Linked DNA regions of Sus scrofa. The protein of the gene in region 1 purifies or fractionates together with the protein of each later gene. This does not show direct contact. Links are inferred from orthologs where the notes say so. Each region holds a gene or a part of one and is shown in the gene's direction. Other genes may lie near its edges.

What was found. The genes of interacting proteins can lie anywhere in the genome.
Region 2: the proteins of PCMTD2 (region 1) and CUL5 purify together in Homo sapiens (affinity purification with mass spectrometry; 4 studies listed by BioGRID and IntAct, counting the BioPlex papers as one, with this or other methods). This does not show direct contact. The link is inferred for Sus scrofa from reciprocal best matches to the Homo sapiens genes PCMTD2 and CUL5.

What each region holds. Positions count from the first base shown.
Region 1 is NC_010459.5:63,035,755-63,039,272, forward strand, and holds part of PCMTD2 (protein-L-isoaspartate O-methyltransferase domain-containing protein 2), read left to right. Parts: intron 1-1,800; coding exon 1,801-1,903; intron 1,904-2,966; coding exon 2,967-3,138; intron 3,139-3,518. UniProt on the Homo sapiens protein: May act as a substrate recognition component of an ECS (Elongin BC-CUL5-SOCS-box protein) E3 ubiquitin ligase complex which mediates the ubiquitination and subsequent proteasomal degradation of target proteins.
Region 2 is NC_010451.4:36,454,299-36,457,816, forward strand, and holds part of CUL5 (cullin-5), read left to right. Parts: intron 1-1,828; coding exon 1,829-1,974; intron 1,975-2,056; coding exon 2,057-2,137; intron 2,138-3,518. UniProt on the Homo sapiens protein: Core component of multiple cullin-5-RING E3 ubiquitin-protein ligase complexes (ECS complexes, also named CRL5 complexes), which mediate the ubiquitination and subsequent proteasomal degradation of target proteins.

The sequences.
Region 1 (3,518 bases):
GTCACCTTGTCATGGGAGATGGTCAGGGCATGTGTGTTGTCACTCTGCTTGATGTGGGGCTTCCTGGGAATGGGAGCTATGTCCTTAATAAATGTCTAACCAGAGGGGAGAAGCTCATGAACAATGTGACAAGTGGGAAAATAGAGGGCCATGTTCTTGTTCTCTGGCAAGTGACCAGGACAGTGGTGGGGATAGAGAACAGGGTAATTTGGGTCTGATGATGTGAACAGTGGCCGTGCAGCTGCTCAGGTAGGCGGTGTTTGGAGGAGGGAATGTTGAGCAGCTCTCTGTGTGGCAGGTGTTAAGGGAGGGGAGCAGGTGCATTGCCCAGTGGAGGACCGGAAAGCCTTGGCCGGGGTGGGGCTACTGCAGCAGAAAGAGGCAGGTGAACCCTAGTGGCCAAATGCAAAGATGTGTTTGCACAGATGGTTGCGTATTTACTGGTGTTTCTGTGGGACGGTAGGGAGAGCTCTGGGCTGTGACTTCAGTGGGTAGCTAAATAAATAACTCTTCTACATAAAGCCCTACATGCCCTGTTCATTTTCACGTGAAGATTTTTAAAACTGACGACTTACCCGTAGTAAATCCTCAAGTGCGAGTGTGGAGCTTGGTGACGTCCCACGTGCACCATCCAGAAAAAGGTGCAGGGTAGACTGTGCTCCAGAGACTCTCAAGGCGCCCCCCATAGCAGGACCGCACCCCTCCGGAAGGGACACATTGCCGCCCTGACCCTCTGGCACAGCTTCATGCAAATGAGTTCTCACAACGCAGACTCACCCGGGCTATTTGTGTCTGTGGTTCTCACTGAGGTTTAACCCAGAGGCATTTGGAAGTAGAGGAAACCGTTCTGTCATTACTGGCTCCTAACTTTTCTCACAGCTTTATTTCCAATTACTGATCACTTTCCTTTTTAAAAAAATTAGTCGATTTTCAGCGTTCTGTCAATTTCTGCTGCACAGCAAAGTGACCCAGCCATACGTCCATGTACAGTTTTTCCACATTGTCCTCCACGATTTTCCATCACAAGTGATCAGAGGGCCCTGTGCTATGCGGCAGAATCATTGATAAATTTCCTGTGATAAAGTTTTGTTGTGACTTTGGAATTTAGTTGATTTTGGTGGTGTTTAATATCTATTTTGAGAGGATTCAACACCACATCTCAGTGTCGGGGGAGAACTTTGATGGAAAACAGGCCTGTGTCCACTCTCATGTGCAAATACATGTTTCTTCTTTAATTCATTAGTAACATCTTGAACCTTGGGCTTTTTTACATTTTTTTCTTTAAAAGTTTGAGAACACAGCGGTTCAGGCTTTAGGAAGCCGTGGAGTCGGTAATGTCATAGGGAGTGTTGATGCGAGCAGAGGCTGGCCTGCACTTTTAAAGATTAGGTTGGGGAGTTCCCGTCGTGGCACAGCGGTTAACGAATCCAACTGGGAACCATGAGGTTTCAGGTTTGATCCCTGCCTTTGCTCAGTGGGTTAAGGATCCGGTGTTGCATGTGAGCTGTGGTGTAGGTCGCAGATGCGGCTCAGATCCCGTGTTACTGTGGCTCTGGCGTAGGCTGGCAGCTACAGCTCCGATTGGACCCCTAGCCTGGGAACCTCCATGTGCCGCGGGAGCGGCCCAAGAAATGGCAAAAAGACAAAAAAAAAAAAAAAAAAAAGATTAGGTTGGGTGATTTGGGCCCCATAGCATGAATTTCTGTATTTACACATGCCAAATAAAATGTACGGCCGTCAGTGAAGTAGAAATAAAGAGGAGTTCTTGCCCTAATTCTAAACGTTATCCTGAAACCTTAGGTCCTTTTGGTGTGAACCACGGGGTGGAACTTCATTCGGATGTGATTGAGTACGCAAAGCAGAAACTCGACTTCTTCATCAAGACAAGCGACAGCTTTGACAAGTAAGGTCAGACCTGTCTCTGGGTCTGGGTGTCAGTCATAACTTAAACTTTGGATTAAATGGAAAGAAGTCAGTTTATTAGTGTTCCTCCTTTTCCAGCAAATGTGATTAAACTGTGGCAGGAGAGTCAGTGGTCTGTTCTAATGAAAGTATTTTGTGTTTTTAAGGGCCTTAAGTTTAACTCTGATACCTAAGTAAAGGTAATTTCTCACCAGTATAATAAGGGAAGGAAATAGTTTATTTTGATCAATTTTTATGTTTACAATGGAGACATTTTATCACCTACTTGCTTCTAAAATCGAGTTGTTGGAATTTGTCTTTAAATGGTACCGTATGTAACTAGCTCTTGCCATTTTAAAATAAGGCATTGGAGTTCCCATTGTGTCACAGCGGAAACGAATCCAACTAGGAACCACGAGGTTGCAGTTCGATCCCTGGCCTTGCTCAGTGGGTTAGGGCTCTGATGTTGCCGTGACCTGGGGTGAAGGTTGCAGATGCGGCTTGGATCTTTTGCTGTGGCTCTGGCGTAGGCCAGCAACAACAGCTCCGATTCGACCCCTAGGCTGGGAACTTCCATATGCTGCTAGTGTGGCACTAAAAGGACAAAAGACAAAAAAAATAAAATAAGGTATTAAAGTTCTTATTTTAAGGATTAAAATTTTTAGAAAAAAAATATATGTTTCCCTCATTTCACTTGATTAGTAGACCTTGAGTGGGAAATAGAATAAAAGATAGAAGATAAGATAATAAAGATATGAAATAATAAATATAGAAAGTAATAAGTTAATAAGAACAGAGCAAAGATAGTGATGACTGGAGCTTGGGTGATTGAAGCTTGTATCATGCTTATGATATTGATTTACATAATATTTTATCTAGAAATTCTAGGGTTCTACTTATTAACAGCATAATTCTGAAGCCTGGCATCTAGCTGCTGGCTCTAATTTTACTACATTGCTGTGGGATCGTAGAGAGAAAACACAAGCTGTGTCTACCATTGACTTACTCGGTAGACGCGTCATAATGTGATGCATTTAGTTGTGCAAAACATTTTTTGTTTTCAGGTTTGACTTCTGTGAACCCTCCTTTGTTACTGGCAACTGCCTGGAGATCTCCCCGGACTGCTCCCAGTATGACCGCGTGTACTGTGGGGCCGGCGTGCAGAAGGAGCACGAGGCGTACATGAAGCGCCTCCTCAAAGTCGGAGGCATTCTGGTCATGCCACTGGAGGAGAAGGTCAGACTCCTCGAGGCCCTCGTAACCTTCCCTCCGTGTCTCCAGGGAGGAAAAAGGCAGGTGTAGGTTGTAGGGACAGTGGCGCTGGGGCGGAGTCCTGAGAGCCCGGGCCCTTCCTCTCCACCTCATCCTGCTCCTGCACCGCCCTCCACAGCAATCTCTTATGCTTGTTCTGGCCTTAGTGTCACTCTACACGTATGGAAATTAATGGAGTAATTCTACTCTGATTGTTAGTCTCATTGTTAAATCCACGATGGCAACTCTTCGCAGAATCTCTGGCGTGGTGGGAATCTTGTCCGAGTCGGTCTGGCCGTGCCTGTTTCTGTACGTTTTAGATGTTGTTTCATTGGGAAGATCAGATTGTAGTAAATGAGCCAGTT
Region 2 (3,518 bases), on another chromosome or scaffold:
CCCGCAACCTCATGGTTCCTAGTCAGATTCGTTAACCACTGTGCCACGACGGGAACTCCGTGCCTTTGTCTTCTAACTCATCTTCATCCTCTGTTTACAAATGGAGGCCTTTGCTAATTCCCAGACTAGGTTAAGGTGCTCCATCACAACTGTGTTTTCTGTTGTAAGACTTGTAATTAACTGTGTTCTTGACACTATATTTTTACTGAACACAAAATGTCTGACACAAAGTAGTGGGCAGTAAGAATTTTTTCTGTTAATTAATCTTTAGTTATCTTTGACTTGATTTTTCTATTGCCCTTTTATTTCTTTAGGTTTTTTTTTATTTTTTTATTTTTTTATTTTTGTCTTTTTGCCATTTCTTGGGCCGCTCCTGCGGCATATGGGAGGTTCCCAGGCTAGGGGTCTAATCGGAGCTGTAGCTGCCAGCCTACGCCAGAGCCACAGCAACGTGGGATCCGAGCCGCGTCTGTGACCTATGCCACAGCTCACAGCAACGCAGGATCGTTAACCCACTGAGCAAGGGCAGGGATCGAACCCGCAACCTCATGGTTCTTAGTCGGATTCGTTAACCACTGCGCCATGACGGGAACTCCCCTATTTCTTTAGGTATTGAGTGTAGATTTTCATTAGCTATGTCCCTGAAATTTATTCCTTTTTATTTCAGTTGCCACCAGTTTAGACTTTTAAATTCAACGTCTAGACTTTTGAAAGTATTCTTACTGTGATGTTATTCCTGTCATTTAACCTGCATATATTGTCATAAGATTAATTTTTAAGTACCATTTTATTGATTTTTTTCTTAGCCATTTATTGGTACACCATGCTAATGGTTCTACATAACCATTCCTAACTTACCATTCTACCTTATCTTCTATTAACCTTGCAGTCCACTCAACCTAGTTATTATACCTTGATTTGATCTTGTGTTTTTCTACTTCTGAATATTAACTTTACTAATCAATATAAATACTAGTTTGTTCCTAAGATTCAGTTCAAATCCCATCTTTCTGTAAATGGTTTCTTTCTTTCTTTTTCTTTTTCTTTTTTTTTTTTTTTTTTTCGCTTGTTAGGGCCGCACCCGATGGCATATGGAGGTTCCCAGGCTAGGGTTCGAATTGGAGCTACAGCTGCCTGCCTACGCCACAGCTACAGCAGCTCGGGGTCTGAGCCGCGTCTGCGACCTACACCACAGCTCATGGCAACACCAGATCCTTAACTCACTGAGCAAGTCTAGGGATTGAACCTATAACCTCATGGTTCCTAGTTGGATTAGTTTCCACCGAGCCACAATGGGAACTCCATGCAAATGGTTTCTTGATCATCCAGTTAGAAGTCATTCTCTTCAAAAATAAAATAGTTCATGTTAGTTATACTCTTTGTCACTTTACTGCTTTGTGCCTTTTTCTTTTTAGGGCCACACCTGCAGCCTATGAAAGTTCCCAGGCCAGGGTTTGAATTGGAGCTGCAGCTGTGGCCTCATGTCACAGCCACAGCAATGCAGGATCCAAGCCACATCTGCAGCTTATGCCATAGCTTGCAGCAATGCTGGATCCTTAACCCACTGAGTGAGGCCAGGGGGCAAACTCACATCTTCGCAGAGACAGTGTCAGGTCCTTAATCTACTGAGCCACAGCAGAAATTCTTATGCTCTTTTCTTTTTAAGTTTCCTATAGTGAAGAATTTTGTTTTATATGACTGTGTGTTCTCTTGAGCATTGTCACAATCCATAGAACATAATGACTCCTCAGTATTTGTTATTGCATTTATTGTACCAAAATACTGATTTGAATCATAATTAGAGTAAAATTTTTTTTCTGTTTTTCAGTTAACCTTTGTTCTAATCCAGAGGATAAGCTTCAAATTTATAGGGACAATTTTGAGAAGGCATACTTGGATTCAACAGAGAGATTTTATAGAACACAGGCACCCTCGTATTTACAACAAAATGGTGTACAGAATTATATGAAATATGTAAGTCAGAATTTAGTATATGTGAAAATTTGAGCTATTTTCTTGATATTCTTTAAATGATTGCTATTTTGCTTCTGGACAGGCAGACGCTAAATTAAAAGAAGAAGAAAAACGAGCACTACGTTATTTAGAAACAAGACGAGAATGTAACTCTGTTGAAGCAGTAAGTAATTTTGTAATTGTTTATTCTTTGAGATTATTTAAAGCACAGTAGCTGAGGGTTGACAAATACATGATGCAAGTAACATTGTTTCTCCTTTCTCAGATTCTGTGACCAGTATTACTTATAGATTGTTAGCACTCTTTCCCAGTGAGCCAAAGAACAGCTTCAGGAGGCACCTTATTCATAATTCTGTTTTTCAGAGCTGATGTGTTAAAAAATCTGTTTGCTATCCCTGCTGTAGACTTTTCTGTATTTACAGTACTTAATTTTTAATCAGTCTCTTTTTGTTATGTTTCATGCATATATAAAGTTAACGATGTTATCTCTTCTGGGGACGGTATCCAGAGGCATTCACAATGGTCCAGCAATTGACATACTGTCTATAGACTGTCCTACAACACAGTCTCTAACAAAATCAGGATGTCTCGAACCTCTGGTAATAGAATTATTTACCTTTATACCAAGAAGGTTGGGAAAGCACCAAAATTGCCATGTGGTGTGTGCCCAGGCCGACTTTGAGGGGTTCGTGCTGTGAGACCTAAAGTTCTTAATGAGATTGTCTAAGGCCTGGTGGGTTGAGGCTCCTGCGTTCTCACTGCTGTGGCTCTGGTTGCTGCTGTGCGGTATAGGTTCAGTCCTTGGTCCAGGAATTCCCACATATTGCCTGTGTGGCAAAAAAAAAAAAAAAAAAAAATCCAGAAAGAGAGAGAACCTGAAATAAACGTTGCAACTCTCAAAACCAAAAACCAAAAAACAAAAACAAAAAAACATGTCAGCTGGGTCTATGGTGGTTCCATGTGTGCTAAGTGTGTGCATGACAGGATCAAGCGTGCTTTCCTTATTGAGGAGCAGAAAATTGTTGTGAAAGTGTTGAAAGCACAAGCAGAGTCAGAAAGCTAAATTTAAAAAAATGAAGCTTTTTTTGAGTAATAAAAAAAAAATCAAAAAGCAAAAATAAATAAAAGTTAACCATTTAGTGATTTTCATGTAGCAAATAAAATATACTCCCAAGAGATATAGTTGATTCTCAGTATTCATGGTAATTATGTTTTATAAAATAATGGCTGCAAATGCTGAATAGTGAGCACCAAACCGTTATAACTAAGGGATATTTCTTCCTGTTACGGGAGGGTATTTTCCAACTTCCTCTTGTCATGAGATAAAAATATTAATTACTTGATAGAAGAACATTAGTCTTTTATATAGTTTTTATTGATTTTACGTTGTAAGCTCCTTATTTTAGAAAAATGATTAGAGGTAGTAGCCATGCTATAGTATCCATCCTGATGTTTTCTTTTACATGGAGAGTGACTTTAGTGTGCTTTGGTAATGAAGATAAGAATCTTCAGGTTTGAATTGGGTATTAGAAATTGCTCAAATA